4 linked regions of the Arabidopsis thaliana genome follow. The protein of the gene in region 1 binds, or shares a complex with, the protein of each later gene. Each region holds a gene or a part of one and is shown on either strand. Other genes may lie near its edges. The genes, in order: KING1, SnRK1.3, KIN10 and AKINBETA1.

Evidence for each region.
Region 2: KING1 (region 1) and SnRK1.3 share a complex: the UniProt entries of both Arabidopsis thaliana proteins name them as parts of the probable heterotrimeric complex.
Region 3: KING1 (region 1) and KIN10 share a complex: the UniProt entries of both Arabidopsis thaliana proteins name them as parts of the probable heterotrimeric complex.
Region 4: KING1 (region 1) and AKINBETA1 share a complex: the UniProt entries of both Arabidopsis thaliana proteins name them as parts of the probable heterotrimeric complex.

The regions. Positions count from the first base shown.
Region 1 is NC_003074.8:17,985,496-17,990,284, forward strand, and holds KING1 (SNF1-related protein kinase regulatory subunit gamma 1), read left to right. Parts: upstream 1-1,882; 5' UTR 1,883-2,063; coding exon 2,064-2,268; intron 2,269-2,650; coding exon 2,651-2,823; intron 2,824-2,941; coding exon 2,942-3,097; intron 3,098-3,190; coding exon 3,191-3,466; intron 3,467-3,544; coding exon 3,545-3,708; intron 3,709-3,796; coding exon 3,797-4,097; 3' UTR 4,098-4,268; downstream 4,269-4,789. Other genes in the region: AT3G48540 (Cytidine/deoxycytidylate deaminase family protein), read right to left, coding at 4,303-4,377, 4,479-4,580, 4,780-4,789. UniProt on the Arabidopsis thaliana protein: Regulatory subunit of the probable trimeric SNF1-related protein kinase (SnRK) complex, which may play a role in a signal transduction cascade regulating gene expression and carbohydrate metabolism in higher plants.
Region 2 is NC_003076.8:15,780,052-15,785,235, forward strand, and holds SnRK1.3 (SNF1-related protein kinase 1.3), read left to right. Parts: upstream 1-1,855; coding exon 1,856-2,045; intron 2,046-2,495; coding exon 2,496-2,680; intron 2,681-2,780; coding exon 2,781-2,963; intron 2,964-3,057; coding exon 3,058-3,186; intron 3,187-3,263; coding exon 3,264-3,449; intron 3,450-3,535; coding exon 3,536-3,625; intron 3,626-3,714; coding exon 3,715-3,804; intron 3,805-3,901; coding exon 3,902-4,027; intron 4,028-4,172; coding exon 4,173-4,364; intron 4,365-4,534; coding exon 4,535-4,648; downstream 4,649-5,184. UniProt on the Arabidopsis thaliana protein: Catalytic subunit of the probable trimeric SNF1-related protein kinase (SnRK) complex, a central regulator of cellular energy homeostasis, which, in response to seemingly unrelated darkness, sugar and stress conditions, activates energy-producing pathways and inhibits energy-consuming processes.
Region 3 is NC_003074.8:30,639-36,331, forward strand, and holds KIN10 (SNF1 kinase homolog 10), read right to left. Parts: upstream 3,850-5,693; 5' UTR 3,506-3,849; coding exon 3,440-3,505; intron 3,343-3,439; coding exon 3,150-3,342; intron 3,026-3,149; coding exon 2,841-3,025; intron 2,739-2,840; coding exon 2,556-2,738; intron 2,464-2,555; coding exon 2,332-2,463; intron 2,216-2,331; coding exon 2,030-2,215; intron 1,939-2,029; coding exon 1,849-1,938; intron 1,740-1,848; coding exon 1,656-1,739; intron 1,583-1,655; coding exon 1,445-1,582; intron 1,360-1,444; coding exon 1,123-1,359; intron 913-1,122; coding exon 799-912; 3' UTR 543-798; downstream 1-542. Other genes in the region: AT3G01085 (Protein kinase superfamily protein), read left to right, coding at 174-184; HYP1 (hypothetical protein 1), read right to left, coding at 4,375-4,503, 4,684-4,917, 5,214-5,489, 5,576-5,693. UniProt on the Arabidopsis thaliana protein: Catalytic subunit of the probable trimeric SNF1-related protein kinase (SnRK) complex, a central regulator of cellular energy homeostasis, which, in response to seemingly unrelated darkness, sugar and stress conditions, activates energy-producing pathways and inhibits energy-consuming processes.
Region 4 is NC_003076.8:7,203,931-7,209,032, forward strand, and holds AKINBETA1 (5'-AMP-activated protein kinase beta-2 subunit protein), read left to right. Parts: upstream 1-1,736; 5' UTR 1,737-1,787; coding exon 1,788-1,985; intron 1,986-3,235; exon of another isoform or gene 3,236-3,293; coding exon 3,294-3,404; intron 3,405-3,492; coding exon 3,493-3,668; intron 3,669-3,749; coding exon 3,750-3,912; intron 3,913-3,994; coding exon 3,995-4,309; 3' UTR 4,310-4,566; downstream 4,567-5,102. UniProt on the Arabidopsis thaliana protein: Regulatory subunit of the probable trimeric SNF1-related protein kinase (SnRK) complex, which may play a role in a signal transduction cascade regulating gene expression and carbohydrate metabolism in higher plants.

The sequences.
Region 1 (4,789 bases):
GAGAAATAGTTTCTTAACATGTTCAGGTCATCTATAAGGCAAGTAAAACACATGCTTAAGTCATAAAATAGAATCTAAAGAGACATTATTCTGAAATGATCAACTTGGTCTACTTAGCCTAATTTTAAGTCAATACATACAAATTTGATCTCTCTAACTATATTTGTTTTTCTCTTTCTAGTGTTCTTTTTCTTTCCAATATATATACATAGCATATTTTGAATTCTTTTTGTTTTATGGAGTAACGTCAAATATTATAATAGCCGCATATAAAATTAGAATTTATTAAATATTAATTTATAACTTTTTTATTGTAGACAATTATTTTAGGAAAGCAAAGTATATTTAGACGAAAATAGTATTAGGATGAATAATTTTTTGAAAGTCCTAATGTTGCATATTTTTTGTTTTGGTGAACAAATTTCGTGTTGTAGTTCTTAAACATCTATACTATTAATTGGGAATCATTGAAAATAAACAACCTTACGAAGGGTAAAATATTACAAAAATACTATTGATTGTTAGTATTTTTAAATAAATTCTGATTAATTTAAAATAATTATAATTATGCTTTACATTTAGAAATATATAAACAATAAATTGTACATACTTATTTTGAAATATTTTGGTTTTCTTTTTTCTTTTTTTCAACCTGATTTTTTTTTAAATAAATCCATAATATATTATTGAACAAACTTTTGAAATAATGTAAACTAATACATTTTTCATTCAAAACAAATTATCCAACAAAAATAATTTGGATTATGAGTACTATATAAAATAATTTGAAACCAAACTTGACATCAAATTAAATATCTAACTGGTATGAGTTTGGGTTATGAACACTATATAGCATGTACGTATTTTGTGACACAAATTCTATTTGTGATGTTTACAGGTTGGTAGTATTTTTTTTCCACATATACAGACGGGTTATGAGACGAAAAATTTATGATACATACATCACAGGTTTTCCATTCCAAGAAATATAAGTCAAATATACGTTTTTATTTTCTAAACTAATCAAAACATTATAACTGTTATAACAGTAATCAAAACATTATAACAGTTTGATTACTGGTGTAAAATAGGATATAAATTTGGTTTTAGTTTGGGTTATTTATCTGTGTGAATTCGGATCTTAAAATATAATTATATACCAACATAATTGAATTTCGATTATTATTCTTAACTTTATAATATTTATACTATTACAAAGTTTAATTATAACAAAATATTATATATTTTAAAAATCTATTTAAAAAGTTCTATTTTATATGTATATGAGATTTCAAATATCTAATATATTGTATTATAATATATATTACAAAATAAAAAAAAATAATTTACATTGAATTAAAAATATGAATCCGCACATACGTAAAAGTTAGGATCTAGTAATTTGTATAAAAAAGAAAGAAGAAGATAGTTATCCATTTCATAGGTCGGCTGCTAATTTTTGGCGGATTTCTAATAATTATATACAATCCAATTAAATAAATGAAATATGTCGTGGAAAGTGGAAACTATATAAAGGATAGAGATAAGTACGACTTCGACAAATGGAGATATATTATCATTATTATTATTATAATCATTATCTTTCGCTATTCCTGACCAATACCCAAATGATCTCCGCTACTCTTTCCACGTGTCAAAAGCACTGAATTGAACGGATGAGATCTTAAGTCACTAACCAAAACAACACTTGAATTTTTTTATAACAAATCACAGTTCCACCCAATGAAATCCATTTTGTTTCAAAATAAACCCGTATCTTTATAATGAAACTGAAAGATTCAAGGATGTTTTTGATAAATTAAAAACTATGTAGGGCTTCATTCATAAGATTTAAGACAACAGGGTTTATGAATTTGTCTCTGCTTCACGATCTCTCTACTATGGTGTACTGTATCTTTCAATCTATAGTTCAGTTACAAAGATCATCACAGCCAATTTTAGAAAACTTCTGACGGAAAATAAAAAGAGAGGATTTATTTTTATCTTTCTGTGTTACCGGAGAATAAAGACGGTACCTTTTCACTGTTGACTTAACGGAGAAGATGGCGACTGTTCCGGAGATAAAGATAATGAGAAGCGAGAGCTTAGGTCATCGGAGTGACGTGTCGAGCCCGGAAGCTAAGCTAGGGATGCGTGTGGAAGATCTCTGGGATGAGCAGAAACCACAGCTCAGTCCTAACGAGAAGCTCAACGCTTGCTTTGAGAGCATCCCTGTCTCTGCTTTCCCTCTCTCTTCTGATTCACAAGGTATGAGGATTTTGATGATGTGGGTGTTTGACCATGAGCTGATCTATAATTGGAACTGGTAATTGTGTTGAATTTGAATCATGTTCTATGGAGATTGATTTTGATTTTTGTGATGCAATTATTGATGGGTTCTGTGATCTCTTGGTATGTGTTTGTTGATGACTTGTAGTAGGAATATGTGCTGTGTGTTGAAATTCAAGTTATTGAAAGTTTTATAAGTCAGAATTTGGAATTCAATCCAGCTTGTTGGATACTCGAATCAGTTCGATTTAGGGAATCAGAATTAGTTCTTGATGGTTTTTGTTTCTTAGTCTCCTTGTAGAATCAGAGTACTTATTGATTCAGTTCTGCTGTCTCACATCTTTGTGGTTTCCCTATATAGATATTGAGATAAGATCAGACACAAGTTTGGCTGAAGCTGTTCAGACACTATCGAAATTCAAGGTCTTGAGCGCGCCTGTTGTAGATGTTGATGCGCCTGAAGATGCCAGTTGGATTGATCGCTACATCGGTATTGTGGAATTTCCAGGCATTGTTGTCTGGCTTTTGCATCAGGTAATTGTTCTCCAAAAAATACGAGAGGCGACTTGTTTTTGTCATGATCAAATTGGATTGTGGTACCTAGTGAACTATACTTCATGTCTGTACTCTACTTGTCTCCTTTAAAAAACAGTTGGAGCCACCATCTCCAAGGAGCCCTGCTGTTGCAGCTTCAAATGGATTTTCTCATGATTTCACCACCGATGTTCTGGATAACGGAGATTCAGCAGTAACTTCTGGAAACTTCTTTGAGGTCCTTACTTCTTCAGAGCTATACAAGAACACCAAGGTGAAGCTTGTTTTTTTATGAAGGACCTGATTTCAGTTGACTTTTTTCTCCTGATTACGGCTTCTGAAATGCGTTGGATATTCTCTCTGACAGGTTCGAGATATCTCTGGAACATTCCGCTGGGCACCGTTCCTGGCTCTGCAGAAAGAGAACTCCTTTTTGACCATGCTGTTACTTCTTTCTAAATACAAAATGAAGAGCATCCCGGTGGTTGATTTAGGTGTAGCAAAGATCGAGAACATTATCACACAATCAGGAGTTATACATATGCTGGCAGAATGCGCGGGGCTTCTCTGGTTTGAGGATTGGGGAATCAAAACTCTCTCTGAAGTCGGTCTTCCCATTATGTCAAAGGACCATATCATAAAGGTCAGTTTGTAATCTAACTCATAGCTCCATTGAGAGTTTTTTTTTTCCTTTTTTAACAGATCATTATTTCTCTTTCAGATCTATGAGGATGAACCAGTTCTTCAGGCATTCAAGCTGATGAGGAGAAAGAGAATCGGAGGCATACCTGTCATTGAAAGGAATAGCGAGAAGCCAGTAGGCAACATAAGCCTTAGAGATGTTCAATTTCTCCTCACTGCACCTGAGATCTACCATGACTACAGGTTAATACTTCACAAATCCTTGTGATGATGATACACCGAGTTTTGCAGCATTGTCAAATCTTCAATCCTTTCTCTCTCTTTATTTTAGGTCAATCACAACGAAGAACTTCTTAGTATCTGTTAGAGAGCATCTTGAGAAGTGCGGGGATACATCAGCTCCTATCATGAGTGGTGTGATTGCTTGCACGAAGAACCATACACTAAAGGAACTGATCTTGATGTTAGACGCGGAGAAGATCCATAGGATATATGTTGTGGATGATTTTGGTAACCTTGAAGGACTCATCACTCTTAGAGACATCATTGCAAGACTTGTCCATGAGCCATCCGGCTATTTTGGAGATTTCTTTGATGGTGTTATGCCTCTTCCCGAAAACTACCGAGTCTGAGAGAAAAATGGTATCTTTCTTCTGTAAATTGTCTTTTGTTTGGTGATAATGCTTCTGTCTGTTTGTGCTTAAGTTCTCGAAATTGTGTTATTAACGTTTAACAGAAATAAGAAAAGAAGAAAGAGCCTGTCTTTGAGTGAATATGTCTGAAATACAATAACTCTTAAGATTCTCGGATTTGGCCCTACATTTTGAATTTGAACAATTAGGTCTCTGGTTGGAGTAAGTGTTCTTCGAACTTGATCAAGATCTCATCCATCTCTGGTTGATGTTTCCTGACCTGAAAATTTTGGTTTCAGACAGATTTAGATACCAAATGAGACTTCCCATTACAATCACTGTAGAGAAATTTCATGTGGAAATCTAAGTGGCTTTAATTACTTTGACGTTTGCCATGGATAAGAGCTTGTGAGAAGCTACATAGGCAACATCTGAGTCATTTGGTCTCTTTTCCACAAAATAGATTACCTCAGCAACACCAGACTGCAAGAAAGAAAACCGAAATGACAAAAGTCCATATGATTGTGATGATCTACTTGCATCAAATTGGTTAATTGGACTAACTAGAACATTTGGTTTTTATATGACTGCTTAGCTGAAGACATTGACCATAAAAGATTACTAGAGTAGCTTATTAAGGATCCAAATTTGACAAATCAAGCCAATGGTATATAGAACAAACCTGTAAAATA
Region 2 (5,184 bases), on another chromosome or scaffold:
GGCAATAATCCTTTTCTTGTGGCAATAATCCTTTTCTTAGCGATTCAGGAGGACACGAGGCACACTGATATTTTTTTTGATTACATATACAGATTTGTTCAAATTTAATGTATTGTTTTAGTCTTTTTCTGTTGTCCATTTATTTTCTAGCATACACCTCCACTTTGAAGTTATATTTGTCTTTTTTTGGTAAAAAAAACTAATTTAGTTTAAAAGAAAAAAAAACAGACTTAATAAATAATCCAAATAAATTGTTTCAATCATATACCAAATAAAGTAATGTTTATTTGTTTACTTGTTTACCATCTCCATGGTGTTGTCTATTTCCTAACGATTATCATTGATTTTTTATCTTTTACTTTAAAAATAAAAAGTTAGACAAATCTTGACGAATTTTTTACATACATGAATTTTTTTTGGCAAACCCGATAAAATGGTTCATAGTGATAATAGAACTGAACTGAACATAAATTGAAAAAAAAAAAATCAGCTAATCTATGGGTCTGTGGCAGTTCTAATGACTCTTTCAACAAGATCTAGCCATATTTTAGTGTATGTGAAAGGGCATGCAAAGAAGATATAGTCTTAGGCTTTTCTCGTTTCCCACAAAAATACACTATTTTGAACATTTCATCGCGGTTTTGAATAGTAATTTTAGTTTTAGTTATATAATAACTTATAAAAAAATATTTATAATACAAAAAAATCTTTTTAAATGTATAATCTAATTTTTATGGAAATGTAAAAAGGGTGTTACACTTTTTTCAGTACGTATTAAAAATTTATCTCTCATCACAAAAATCTAAATCACAATATTTAAAAGTATTAACTAGTAAATCTACTTCAAATTAAAGATTATTATTACTATTTAAATATCTCACCAATAAAAACTCATTGATTTTTTCTAATTTCTTACAAAACATTCTCCGTTGGAAATTTTCTTTATATATGTATATTCTAAATTAAAATAAGAAAGAAATATTCATTGTATGGTTAGTCAAAGTACCCACTCACATTAATGGCAACTTGTATATCAGGAAAGATATTTCTGTCTTCAAAATGTTGAATAATTAGATTCTAAAAACTGTATAAAATATTAAAATCTAACCATTTTACTAATATATTTTATATTTTTGTCATAATTAGGTAATTACTATTAAGTTAAAACAGAAACTGATCTACTTCTTAACATGGTTGTGTGTAAATTAATTTATTGTTTAATATGATTCATGAAAAAAGTGTGATACCATTAGTCAACAGTGTGACTCAGATTTACCTCAGCAAAGGAGAGTAAAAACAAAGGAAAGATGATAATATATGTGCCCATAGACTCTTTTCTTGTACTTTTCCTCAATTTTCTAGTGGTGCAATTTTTCGTGTGCATGCTCATATAATTTGTATCATGGGTTCCATTTTTTTCTTGCATCAACCATACTCTATAAGATTATGTTAAGAGTCTTCTACGTCTAAATCATTTTTCCAAAAAAAATTCTGTTCAATTTGAAGGTTTTTGTTAGAAACAAAATCTATGAATTTTATGAAAATTTACTGATTTTTATCGGTTTAGACAATCAGTCAAACCACAAATTTCTTCCTTCAACTAGGGGACCTATTCATATAGTGAACGAAATGAATTTTGCTAAAATATGATTTTGATTTGGGGCGTATCACCTTTTGGTGGATTTTCTAGTTAGATTCACCATCAATTATTTTTTATTGTTCATTTTATAGGTAGTTTTTTTCTCATAATCCGTCCATTTTATTGATATTTTACCTTGATATATATTTTTGTTATAGAGGTTTAATTATATATTTCTTTTTTATATTTCAGGTTTTATTATCTATAGTAATTAAAATGGATGGATCATCGGAAAAAACTACCAATAAATTAGTATCGATTCTACCAAATTATAGGATTGGTAAGACTCTTGGACATGGATCCTTTGCGAAAGTGAAATTAGCACTGCATGTAGCTACTGGTCACAAAGTTGCTATCAAAATTCTTAATCGCTCTAAGATTAAGAACATGGGTATTGAGATCAAAGGTATGTATTATTTACTTCAATTTTGTTACTCTTTTTTCATTTGTACAAAAGATTAGAGGAGGTATAACACCTCTCTAAATGTATATATAGATGTATCTTTATTTTTCTTCACGAGATCTAATAGGTCTACGAGATTTCGGCAACCACCATGATCAATAATTTTTGGTTTTGATAATATAATTACAAGTTTATTTGGTATGGATTGTATTTTAATACTGAGAAATCAGAAAAATATTTTTATTTTAAAATCTGTTTTTTTCTACGAAAATACTTTATCCGAATCTTAGGTCTCGAAGCCGAAAGACTGTTCATTAATATAGGTCACTGTTATGATTTGTTTTTTTTTTTGGACTACTTTATGTGGCAAAAAAATATTACGCTTTATGTCTTATATAATCGTTGTTATTTATTAGTAATCTTAATAAATGAAATTGTTTAAGTCTCTTGTAGTACAAAGGGAGATCAAAATTCTCAGATTTTTGATGCATCCTCATATCATCCGTCAATATGAAGTTATAGAGACGCCAAATGACATTTATGTTGTGATGGAATATGTTAAGTCTGGAGAACTATTTGACTATATTGTAGAGAAAGGTAAATTACAGGAAGACGAGGCTCGTCATCTTTTTCAGCAGGTTTGGTATATATATAGTATTTATCCAAACATTTTGTATTTCATAAAACCTTATATCCTTTTCGATTGGCAACACTTTTATTTAAACCATATATTCTCAGATCATATCTGGTGTAGAGTATTGTCATCGCAATATGATCGTTCATAGAGATCTTAAGCCCGAGAATGTGCTTTTGGATTCGCAATGCAACATAAAGATTGTTGACTTTGGATTGAGTAATGTCATGCATGATGGTCATTTTTTAAAGACTAGTTGTGGAAGCCCTAATTATGCTGCTCCAGAGGTATAAGAGATTAACATATTCTTCATTTTTATTTCATGAATTTGGATATATATTTGAAGTATCAATTACTCACACCTGAAACTTATTTATATAGGTTATTTCAGGAAAACCATATGGACCAGATGTAGATATATGGAGTTGTGGGGTGATATTATATGCTCTGTTGTGTGGTACTCTTCCTTTCGATGACGAAAATATTCCTAATGTATTCGAGAAAATAAAGGTATTAATAAACAACGATCTTTTTATAAAAATCATATATATTACACATGGTTATGAATTTTTTCTCTATTTCTTTAGAGAGGAATGTATACTCTTCCAAATCATTTATCACATTTTGCTAGAGATTTGATACCGAGAATGCTTATGGTTGATCCTACTATGAGAATTAGCATTACTGAGATTCGTCAACATCCTTGGTTCAATAATCATCTTCCTCTTTATCTTTCTATTCCTCCATTAGATACCATAGACCAAGCTAAAAAGGTTAGAATTTGTTTTCATTAAATTGTACCAAAATAACATCATTTTTATGAATTCAGTTAATTTTGTATCAATTTTACTCTTTCTAGATTGAGGAGGAGATAATTCAAAACGTGGTTAACATAGGGTTTGATAGAAACCATGTTGTTGATTCTCTTGCCAATAGAATCCAAAACGAGGTATGAGTGTTTTCATATTTCATATAATAATCCTATTATACTCAAAATAGTTTTATAAATGATACTCAAGTTAAATTTCGTTACTTTAGGCTACAGTTGCATACCATCTAATCCTAGACAACCGAAACCAAAATTCTGTTCCCAATGACCCTTTCCAATCCAAGTTTAAAGAGATTTCGGTACTTACTCTCTTTCTCTACAACCTGAATTTAAGAAAAATAAATAAACATTACTTCTCTATATAATTATATTTTCGTTTTAATCCTACAAATATAGGATGGTATATTTAATTCGACGTTACCAGTTCAAAATATTACTTCACATGTTGGCCATTCATTTTCGGCATTGTATGGACTAAAATCCAATGTCAAAGATGACAAAACATGGACCCTTGGACTTCAGGTTAGTCCATGCATGGTTAATGTTTAATCCATTGTTGTTCATGTTACTTTAGCATTCAATTTCGTCTCATGTTTTCTTAATTTTCTTTCTATTCAAAACAGTTTATCAATATATATATCAAAATAATTGTTTGGAATTTTGACAGTCTCAAGGGAGTCCTTATGATATCATGACTGAAATTTTTAAAGCTCTTCAAAATCTAAAAATATGCTGGAAAAAAATCGGACTCTACAATATAAAATGTAGATGGGTCCGAAGCTTTGCTTACTATAAGAATCATACAATTGAGGATGAATGTGCCATCATCTTACCGACCGTCATCAAATTTGAAATTCAGGTATATTTATCCAATTTAAGATATTATACTATAATTTAATAGTCCATAAATAACAATTTTTTTTGTTTTGATGCGAATATAAAATTATCAACAATTTACATTGTTAAAATCTATTTAGAGCAATTTCTTAAATGCAAACCTAATTTGTATCATTTTGGTTGTTGTTATAGCTATACAAAGTACGCGAAGGCAAATATTTGCTGGACATCCTAAGAATTGATGGACCTCAGTTTATCTTCTTTGATCTATGTGTTGCGTTTCTCAGAGAGCTAGGTGTCCTCTAAAGCTCAACCATCACTGGTGTTTTAGATGATTATTGCGGTTAGCTAGGTCCTCTAAAGCTCATTTCATCAATGTTTTTTCGATGATTATTGCTTCAATGTTTTAAATTCAATTATGTTTTCTATGTTTCTGTATTTATGGATTAAGTAATCCTTGACAATAAACAAAAAAAAAAAGAAGATAGATTGTATTTTTTTTTGCATTAAGTTTTGGAAAATGCATGTACTTTTTACACTTTCTCGATTTATGATGCCAATTTTGTTTGAAAAACACACAGTACATGCATTTTCATAGATTTTTTTATATTTCTAAAATATAATTTAATGAAACCACATTTGATCAATTAACTCTGTTTAGCAAAGTGATTGATCACAGATCAAGTTGAATATATATTTACCTTCTAAGAGATTACAAATCGGTGATTGATCAAACTAAAGACCAAAGATACACAACCAACTCTCATGGAGCTTCACGAGAAACTCCTCAGTCAGACACACAATTTATTTCTCCTCATCTCTTAGAATTCTCATATTGTCTA
Region 3 (5,693 bases), about 18 Mb from region 1:
AGTCCATATTTGTTTAATTTTTCATTTAAAAAAAAAAGCCCAAGTCAGTGTGAAATTATTCAATTTCAGGTTTACCAAAAGATAATTGTGTCTTTTTTTATTATTATTACAAATTTCCTTGTATTTTTGTGAGAGTTTATCTCACACTTGATGTGTTTTTTTTTTTTTTGCAGGAGAAGATTAACTGGTAGGTAAAACCACACGTTGGAAACTTTTGAAATTCTTTTTGGGCTTGTTTTTGAGTTTGTATAGTTTTTGGATCTTAGTTCGAAATAAACACATCAAGCTCATCCTAAATGTTCGTTTTTCAATGTCTTAATATTAGTAGGATGACAAAAACAAAAAACAACTATTTTTGAATTTGCTAATTTGTTTACACAAAAAATATAGTGTAATATTGACCCATCAAATAATACACGAAACAAAAACAACTACTTCTGAATTTGCTAATTTGTTTTCAATGAAACTAATTTAAACATCTTTCCTTCAATTTTTGTCAAAATGTCTTTCCCTTAACTTATTGATTTTAATCATAAGAAATATGGAGTAAACAAAAACAAAAATCAATCTTGGTGGCATGATGCACTACAAGTTATGTACAAAGTGTCTTTTTTTTACTCTTGCTCAGTCTTACATTTAAGTTAAAAGAGGTATTTGAGTAGAGCACGCATATAGAAATAGAAAGAAAGAGAAGAAGAAAAAAAGGGTTACGTTTTCTAAATAATTTCTTAGACGAATAAGAAAAAAAAAAAAAAAGGAATAAGTGGGGATTATTCTTGAAGAGGTCCGGTTTAGTATTCAGAGGACTCGGAGCTGAGCAAGAAAAGCAGCACACAGATCCAAGAACAAGAACTGAGGACCTTGTACTCTCTGCAAATCCAGTAGATACTTGTCGTCCCGAGTTTTATACAACTGTTTCACCATCAACAATAACAAACGTCATCAAGCCCAGAAAATATTGATTGATAGTTAGATTCATGAAGATTCACTCTAGTTCTAATTCAGTTACAAAAATGGCCATGGACACTAATACACAAAGCTTTCTTTCACTCGAAATCACACATCAGAAACAATGTCGTACGGGAAACCGATATGTATCATGAAGTGGAGAAGAGGATTTACCTGAATTTCAAACTTGACAACATTGGGCGACTTAACAGCTGCTTCGTTCTCTATTATGCTGGACTCGTCTCCAAAGTAGTTGTTATCGTGCATCGAGTTACTGAGCATACCATCTGCGCTGCTGTTAGGAACCCATCTGCACTTCATGTTGTAGTGCCCTATCTTCTTCCAACATACATTCAAATCTTGCAGGGCTTTCAGGACTTCCGTCATTATTTCACGGGGATGAGCCCGAGACTGTGCGATCAAATTGTTACAATATTAATCACATATATATCAAAAGCTGAAGTCTTTATACCATAAATACAGAAAATATCAAAACCTGAAGTCCAAGAGCCCATTTTCTCTCAACAGGGTATTGAGATCTCAAGCCAACTCCTTGATATTCCATCAGTCCTGGAAGCCGATGGCTAACAGGTGAAGCAACGCTTTCTGCTGGATGCATACGGGGAGTACCTTCCTGATTAAATCAAACAATGAAGCATTACGTCAAAGATCTTTTGCTAAAGTCGAAAAGGACAAAAAAGACTAACCATGGTCTCTTGAAACTCAGCCCCGAGATAACCACTAGAGGCACGGAAACGATTGTCCAGTATCAGATAGTACGTCACAGTGCCCTGGAAGACAGTCGGTAAGAATACAGTATTTAAGATCTTTTGATGGAATTTTTTTTAATCTTTGAAATGAAAGAAACAGCAAAAGAACAAGTGGGTGGGAAACACATACATCATTCTGGGTTCGGTTGCGGAGCGATTCGATGAGGTGGTTTCTGTCAAATCCCATATTGATAACTTCTTGGAGAATCTCCTCGTCAATCTACAAATGAAGACAGCGCTTTTACGCCTTTATCGAAAAATGGGAATAGAGATTTCTCTAATGAAAATAAGAGTAGATACGTTAGGCTTACCTTTTTTGCCTGTTGCACAGTATCTGGAGGAGGAACAGCTAAATACCTCGGAAGATGAGCTTGGAACCAAGGGTGTTGCCGGATCTCAGGGATGGTTACTCGTTTCATGGGGTCAACTACAAGCATCCGGGGGATCAAATCTCTAGCACCAGGAGATAAATGGCTAGGTAATGTGTATATCCCTCCCTATAGGACGAAAAGAGAAAAAAAAAAGGTTACAGTCGAAGGGTGATACGAAAAATAAAATAAAAAATTCAAGCATTAGTTCAAATAGACGAAAGAGGAGGAGTAATAGAATGTACCTTTATCTTCTTAAAAAGGTTGGGAATGTTTTCATCATCAAATGGAAGCGTCCCACAGAGAAGAGCGTAGAGTATCACACCACAGCTCCAGACATCTACTTCAGGGCCAGCATATAACTTGCCCGAAATTACCTGAAACAATTTATAGATCTCGACTATAACCTATCATTTGAAACAAGCCTAATTATAGTATTCCTCAGATACCTGAGGGCTGAAGCACTTACCTCTGGAGCGGCATAATTTGGACTTCCACAACTTGTCTTCAAAAAATGACCATCTCGCATTATGTTGCTCAGGCCAAAATCAGCAATCTTTACATTGCATTTAGAGTCCAAAAGCAAGTTTTCAGGCTTGAGGTCTCTGTGAACCACCATGTTTCGATGGCAGTATTCCACTCCTGATATTATCTACATCAAAGCCAAGTAGCTAATTCTTAACTCTCAAATATAATATAAAATCGAATGGTTGCTTGGAAAGTTACATGTTGATAAAATAAAATAAAAACATACCTGCTGAAAAAAGTTCCTCGCCTCATCCTCCTGCAATCTACCCTTCTCAACAATATAGTCAAATAGCTCACCAGAGTTCACATACTCCATGACAAGATAAATATCTGTGGGAGTCTCTATAACCTCATAGAGACGGATGATGTGAGGATGCATAAATAGTCTCAAGATTTTGATCTCTCTCCTCACTGCATCAAAGACCAAATAAGTTCAAAGGAAGGAAGACGAAAAAGAAGCTATATATTTATATATTCCAAGAGTACCGTGAAGTCACAACTAAGGTGGAATGGATACACAAAACAAAACTTGTACCTTTCTCCTCCATCTCCATGTTCTTGATTTTGCGACGATTGAGGATCTTGATAGCAACCTTATGTCCTGTCAATGCATGCTCAGCTATCTTCACCCTACCAAAGGAACCAATACCAAGAGTTCTCCCAAGCTTGTAATTTGGTAGAATCGATTCTACCCCACTTCTACTGCCTGTGCCTGATCCATCCATTCTCTACAAAAAAAGAGAGAGAGATATTAGATCTACTAGTACACAACACACAAAACAAACTGCAAAAGAGTAATAGGAACAAAAAGCAAGTAATTTTTACACTTTTGAAGATTCTGTGATCGATCGTTGAAGAAACTAAATTAAACTCATCTACTCGTTTGAACATGAGAATTTAGCGAGAATTAGGATCCCTTTTATTATCCAGAATAAACCAACCAACACTAAGAAGAGAGCTTAAAATAGCAATTTTCAGACTATCCCCAATTCGGAATATGAACCCTAATAATAATTCAATCGCAGAGGATTACTGGATCTCTCGTACCCGATTCAGAAATGACGATTTCAAGATCAATCCATTGATTTGCAAAAGGGCGAGAATTTTTTTTATTTCCGAAATAAGAAAATTGAGAGATATCGAAACTTACCAAAAATTAAAAAAGGCGGAGGAGAAAATTCGGAACCAAAAAATGCAGCAAAAAAAAGTCCCAAAATTTTCTGAGCTGAAAAAGTAAAATTGAGGAAGATCCAGAGATCAGCTTAAACCCAGAAATTATTGATAGATTCTTCCTCTCGCTTTCATTGCTCTCGCTCCTGTAGCCTATAAGGCGCAAGCAAGTATCAAAGACGAAATTATTTGATTTTTGGTTCCATAAACGGATCAATCTTTAACTAAATTACCCCCAGAGTTACGACTAATTACAATATATACCCCCATGCGGACGTGGCATCTAGTCATCATCTTTTTGCTAAATATTCTCTGTGGTAAAATTATTAACCACCGTTTTGTTTTGGCATCTTTCAAAAAGTTTGTACCGTCTTAAACCGGTTTAGAGAGATACATTGACATAAACTTTTTTTCTTTTTTACACAAGCCAAGTGTAAGCAAATGTACAAGACAAAAACCGCTTGATTCTCGGTTAAGACCCAATGTACAAGACAACCGGTTTAGTGTGTTCTTTCATGGATTGCACCAGGTATAGTAAACCAACAGCTTCAACATAAGCAAACTTCAATAGCTCAAGTAAAAAGGTGATCTCAAGGTGAGATATCTCTCGAGTCCTGTGATGCCGAAAGTGCAGGATCTCGGTAAGCAACAACGAGTTCCGAATAGAATTCAGACATGTTTTGCTCTCTCTCGTCTGCTTTATCTTTGTTTACCAGACACTGCAAAAGTAAAACATCCATCATCACCATATAAAGGTTTAGAGTAGATGCTGTAATGTAATAAAGGACTATGCATCATGTTCTGTTTGTTTTGTTTAGGTTAGGAATAAAAGATTATCTAGCCATATTTTTCTTCCATTGGATCAAAAATATGAGTAACTATTTCTCTAAAGCCTTTACCTGGGTAGGATAAGATTTGAAATTTGGTAAAAACCGTCTTTGGCAGTAAATGCTGAAAAGGACCGTGAGAACCGGAAGGGGAATTGTTAAAGAAGATGCCACTGGAAGCTCTTTAAGCCCGAATAATCCGACTGCAATAATGTGCATTAGTACCAAAGAGAAGATAGTATAGCTGTGAACTATTGGCCAAAACTTTCCACCAGTTTCATACTTGGCCGCATATACGTTTAGGAGCTGCAGCACAAAAAGGTGATGTTATTTCTATCAACAAGTTGCAATGGATTCATTAAGAAGAAAAAGAATTATGTGACGAGAAAATGGATTCTTGATGTAACGTTTATGTCATGACTGAAGCTCCAAAAAATACTTTCGGTTTAAAGATGCTATTCGAGAATTTAGAAAAGGGATCACATATAAAGAGAAGATAAAAGTGAGATTCCATATAACGAAAATATGTGTAGCTGATTCCTATATGATTTTATCAGAGATCAACAGAGAATTATACTTAGGAGTGAGATTGGTTCCGTTACCTGGTTGCGGTAGATGATATATCCAAGACAATAGTAGACCAACAAGAAAGGCAGTATCAATGGCGAAAGGAAGAAGTAAGTTATACCGAGGAGTCCAAAAAATAGAATCCTTGGGATTTCTTGGCAGAAAGGAGTTGAAGGAACCTCAAATTCTTTGTCATCTTCCTTGCCGAAAAGTTTCGTTATGAAACTCCAAAGAAGAGGAACCAAACGGAGGATCTCTGATGATAAACCAGTCCATCCAGAGGTCACAACATAAGATACAAAGAACGATGCCTACACCAAAGATTAAACAATAAACATGACTCGTGGTACGAAAAGGGAATTCCGGAAACCTCAATACTGAATTTTGTGTTCTTTACCTGTGCTGGCACAGCTGCAGCAAGCACACGAGGAATAGTCTTAGGTTCAAGGAACACATTAACACGATAAAGGGCAGATCCGGACAGTACATTTGCAAAGAAACTGTTCCATACAGTA
Region 4 (5,102 bases), on another chromosome or scaffold:
ATCAAAAACAGAACGAGGATTGAAGGATCAGATGGAGAAGACGCAATGTGAGGAAGAGAGGTTGAAGAAGGAGGCAAGTGTGTGTGTGTGTTTTGGTGGCGACACTCTTTAAGGGAGGAATAAGCGAGGATGAAACAAACAGTGAAACGTATAACCCCAAAAACCCTAGTTACTTTCCTCTTTTTTTATATGTATATGTTTATTTTATATAGCAATTTCCTATTTTTCCTATTTGAAATTTGACAAAAAATAAGAATAATATTCATGATTTGTTTAATTACTAGTATTACAAATATCCTCTAATCTGGTCTTTATCCTTCGTAATTAAAAACATTCAATTTATTTCTTTTTAATTTTTGTTTTGAGAAAACATCATTTATGTAGGGTTTTAAAAAAATTTAAATTAACTTTATAAACTTATTTTCGTTAGACCTATTTATAACGCGTTTATTTATTAACCTTAGTTTATGTCCTTAAATAGATGTGTTAGAATTTGTGTAGCAATTCTAAGTTATTTTGTACTTTTAATGTGATCTAACAAACTTTTGTTACAACTAAGGATTAGTAGTTGGTAAAAGAGAACGAAGATAACTAGTTATCGCTCTTATAATCTCTTTATTGTTTTATTGTTTAATTCGTTTAAGTTATTTAATTATAATATTTAGTCTTTTAAAAATACGTGAAAAATTATCTGAATTGTTAATATACATATAATAATTTTTATATATATGATGGATATTAACGATGATTTCTGAGGTGAAAACTATTATCTTAATTTTTTTTTTGGGTGAGGCTATTATCTTAATTCTTCAATATGTGAACCTACGAAGAATAAAGTAATTGATGAAGATTTGAATGAATTTTTGTCTCTGAAAATGACATTTGAAGGTGTCTGTGGAAGATTTAGTGTCCACTAGATAAGATTTCTAAACAAAAGGTCAATATATTGATGAAAATTGAAGTGATTGAAATCAAGTTTTTCCAATGATAGTACACTCGTTTGAAGAAAATATGAGGTTGAATCAAAACCTTAGTTCAAAGTAAATGATAAAGCAAAAGCTGAAATCTTACAATTTGAAAGTGACCAATATACAATGCGAGAAAGCAAAAGAAAAAACAATGACTCAACCTATAAGGAAAGTGCATGACAATCACTCATGGCTTAGTGAATAGTGACCATCGCCTTTTACAAGTTTACATTGGCTTTGAAACCCTCCAAACTTTTCGAAACAATCTTTCGACCAATAACTAGTTTACGGGACTAACCAATACAAATCTTGGAAAATGATGATTCTTTGACCATCTCTATTCTAACCCCACCTATTGGAGTTTAAGGCCTTTTCATCGTCACGATACGCATACTATGATCACTGGCTCTAGCAAGATGTTAAGGCACACAAATCGGTGGCAAGGAGGTGACTGGCCCTTGTGTCATTATCCTTCTCAAAGGCATTGAACCAACTTTTTATTCACATTTGTTTATTATATACTAAAAGAAATAAACAAAAAAAAAGTGGATAATTATAAACTTTTGGACGCCAAGTCACTCGTTTATCCATTTGGTACGGATTTTAATGATATCTCTCTCTCAAGAGCCCCTTTTATGCAAAATCTCTTTTTCGCTACCAATGGCATTATTCGTAATTAACTTCTAACTTGAGGGGCGTTTCATTATCTCCTCCTCGTCGTCCTCCCTCCATTTTTCTTCACGTCTGGTTTTCTCTCTCTTTTCCTCTATCTCTCTCCTCTCTTTGTCTCTCTCGCTTCTGTGATTTGGGCTTTTTCAGATGGGAAATGCGAACGGCAAAGACGAAGACGCCGCCGCCGGTAGCGGTGGTGCAGATGTTACCTCGTCCTCGGCGAGATCTAATGGCGGCGATCCTTCTGCACGCAGTCGTCACCGTCGTCCTTCTTCAGACTCTATGAGCAGTTCTCCTCCCGGAAGTCCTGCTCGATCTCCATCTCCTTTCTTATTCGCTCCTCAGGTTCCCTCTCTCGAATATCTCTCTCTGTTTAATCGTTGAATTTGATTTCTGGTTTTGAATTGAATCGATTGAAACATTCGCCCAAAGAGATAATAGTAAGAGAATCTTTTTGATTTGTTTCGTTGAGTAAGAGAATGTTCGTTCACTTGACTTTTCATTTGTTTCACTAATTGTGAGACACTTTCTTCATTTAGATAGGATCCAAGTACAAAATCTCCAGCCTTTTTTTTATGAGTGAACTCTACTTGTTCACTTGATTTGTGTTATCCTGTTGGTTCTTGAGAATTTGTAATGTAGATTCTTGTTCTTAAAGCTTTTTTCTGAGTTGGGTTTAGAGATTCTGTACTAGAGAATCTCTTTTATTTTTGTGTTATCTTGGTTCAGGTATCTTGAAATAATGCATAATGTGGAAAAGTTTCTACCTTTCTTTAAGATGTTGTTTTGGTTTCCTAGCTATTTTTTCTTTATTTTCCAGCCGGTCTCTAGTCATTTACTGGTCGCTCATGATTCTTGATGTCCCTTAGTGAGTCTTTGTGTAATTTATCTTTGTTTCATTGTGAAGAGGGCAACTTTGCAGACTAAGTACGTTTGTGAATGAAATCTTTTGTATAAAGGAATTAGACTTGACTTGGTTTTGTTTGGTTCTTGAGAAGTCAAAAACTCTGGTAAATGACAAGGTAGCTAGTTACTCTTCCTTAGTTTTGGTGGAGAGAGAGAGAGAGGCTTAGATCACCTTATTGCTATGTCTTTTCCTTTTGGTGAGTTAAAATCTTGTTAATCATACTAGAGAATCTGCTTTAGAGAAGGTCTTATTTGTCTTCTGATTATGCCTCCATGCCTGGTGTGGAAAAGCGTATGGCAGTCAAATAGGATGATTATTGTCTCTCTAGGTTTTTATGCTGATTTTGACTTTCCTGCTGCTCTCTGGTCATTTACCAGTTACTGATACTGTTCTGTTGATTTGCATGTCGCATTGTGAGTCTTTTGTGTAATGTCTTTTGCTTTCATTTTTAAGAGGAGGGAGGGCAAGCTTGTTCTTTTCTTCGCCCTTTTTGAATTTAAACACGCAGAGCTTTTACTTGAACGAATTACAGATTTTGGATGTTTCGTCATTCTTCTCATTGTTCTTAATATGTGAATAATTCATAAGATAAGTGAAGGACAACCTTCTAAAATTGACCTTGTTATCAGGTTTTTGTGGGAATAGTGAAATATCTTTTGCTAATAAGGTCTTGTCTGTACTCTGTATGCGAGTAAATTTCTGAGTCTACTGTTGCTATATTCATTTTCGACTCCTTTTCTTTTCAGCCCACATTGTTATTCCACGTTACATCTTACAACATTTGCTCACCTATGCGTCACCTCTTCCATTGTTTAGGCTTAACATGTGTACCTAATGGCTGCATTTCGTGTCGGATGGTAGATATAATGTTTTGACATTCGCAAATTCTTCTTGCACATTGGTTTGTAAGATCTCACGGCTCAGTGTTTATGTGGATATTCTCAGGTTCCCGTGGCTCCATTGCAGAGAGCAAACGCCCCTCCTCCTAATAACATCCAATGGAACCAATCACAGAGAGTTTTTGATAATCCCCCAGAGCAAGGAATCCCTACCATCATTACATGGAACCAAGGAGGTAATGATGTGGCGGTGGAAGGATCATGGGACAATTGGAGATCAAGGTATAATTGACTTTGTTTCTCGTGGACCCTCTCTCGAGATTTCGTGATATATGTTAAAAACAATATGTTTACATTCACCAGGAAGAAGCTGCAGAAATCAGGGAAAGACCACTCGATTCTCTTTGTCCTTCCATCTGGCATATACCACTACAAGGTGATTGTGGACGGTGAATCCAAATACATCCCAGATTTACCCTTTGTAGCAGACGAAGTTGGCAATGTCTGTAACATTCTCGATGTTCATGTAAGTTACTTTCCCACCTCTTTTTTTCTCATGTTAAATCTATCAATCAGCTTAACAGTATCTGCAATCATTATGCATGCAGAACTTTGTGCCAGAAAACCCAGAAAGCATAGTGGAGTTTGAGGCGCCACCATCACCTGATCATAGCTACGGTCAAACCCTACCAGCCGCAGAAGATTACGCGAAAGAGCCACTGGCGGTGCCACCTCAGCTTCATCTAACACTTCTTGGCACTACTGAAGAGACAGCCATAGCCACAAAGCCTCAACATGTGGTGCTTAACCATGTGTTCATAGAGCAAGGATGGACTCCTCAATCCATAGTAGCTTTGGGTTTAACCCACAGGTTCGAGTCTAAGTACATAACTGTTGTCCTCTACAAACCGCTCACACGGTAACCCTAAAAATTCAGTGCCACATTGTTCTCTCTCTTTCTTTCTTTTTCATCTCTCAATTATGTGAAAACATGTTCTTTGTTCATAGTGACTAGTGAGTGCCCAACATTTGAGTTTATTAACCTCTTTCTTACCTGGTTTGTGGTGCTTGTGTACAAAGCTTCTCTCATTGTAACGATTGTTGTTTTATTTTCTGCAAAAACTGTAAAATACATTCGCTAATAATGGCTATAACAAGCTTATCTGCTAGCAACCAAACACATAAATCCTGTTTTTTTTCTTCTTCTGACAAAACGTTTGCGAAAGTGACAAATTTTTGAAAATAATCTTTCTTTTTGGTATTGGAAAAGGCTAACCAGTTTGAAAGTGTACTCATAATAAATCCACGTCGTCTATTTGATTGAAAATTTTAATTTGGATAAGAAAAAGATAAAAGAGAAATAAGGTGAGAAAAAGTGAGCCACACGATGGAGTATGGCGGAAGAAGCATCGACCGAGTAATTGAGACGCTCTGTTTCCAATTACTACTCTCTCGAGCTCCTCCGCTCTGCATTGTCGCCGAGAGTTCCTTTCTTGTCCGACAAACTACTTCTTCTCCTTCGATAAGCCAATTCTGCGCCATAGATTTTTGAAATCTACTGCCGGAAAGGCTGCATGCGATTTCAACTCCCTTTTCCCGGGACAATTCGCAGGTGTGTATTCCTGAAGCTCCGTTGTACTATACTACTATTCCATGTTTCACTTCGAACGAAGAATCAATCATTCGGTAAATTGGATAATTTGGTCACTTGTTCAT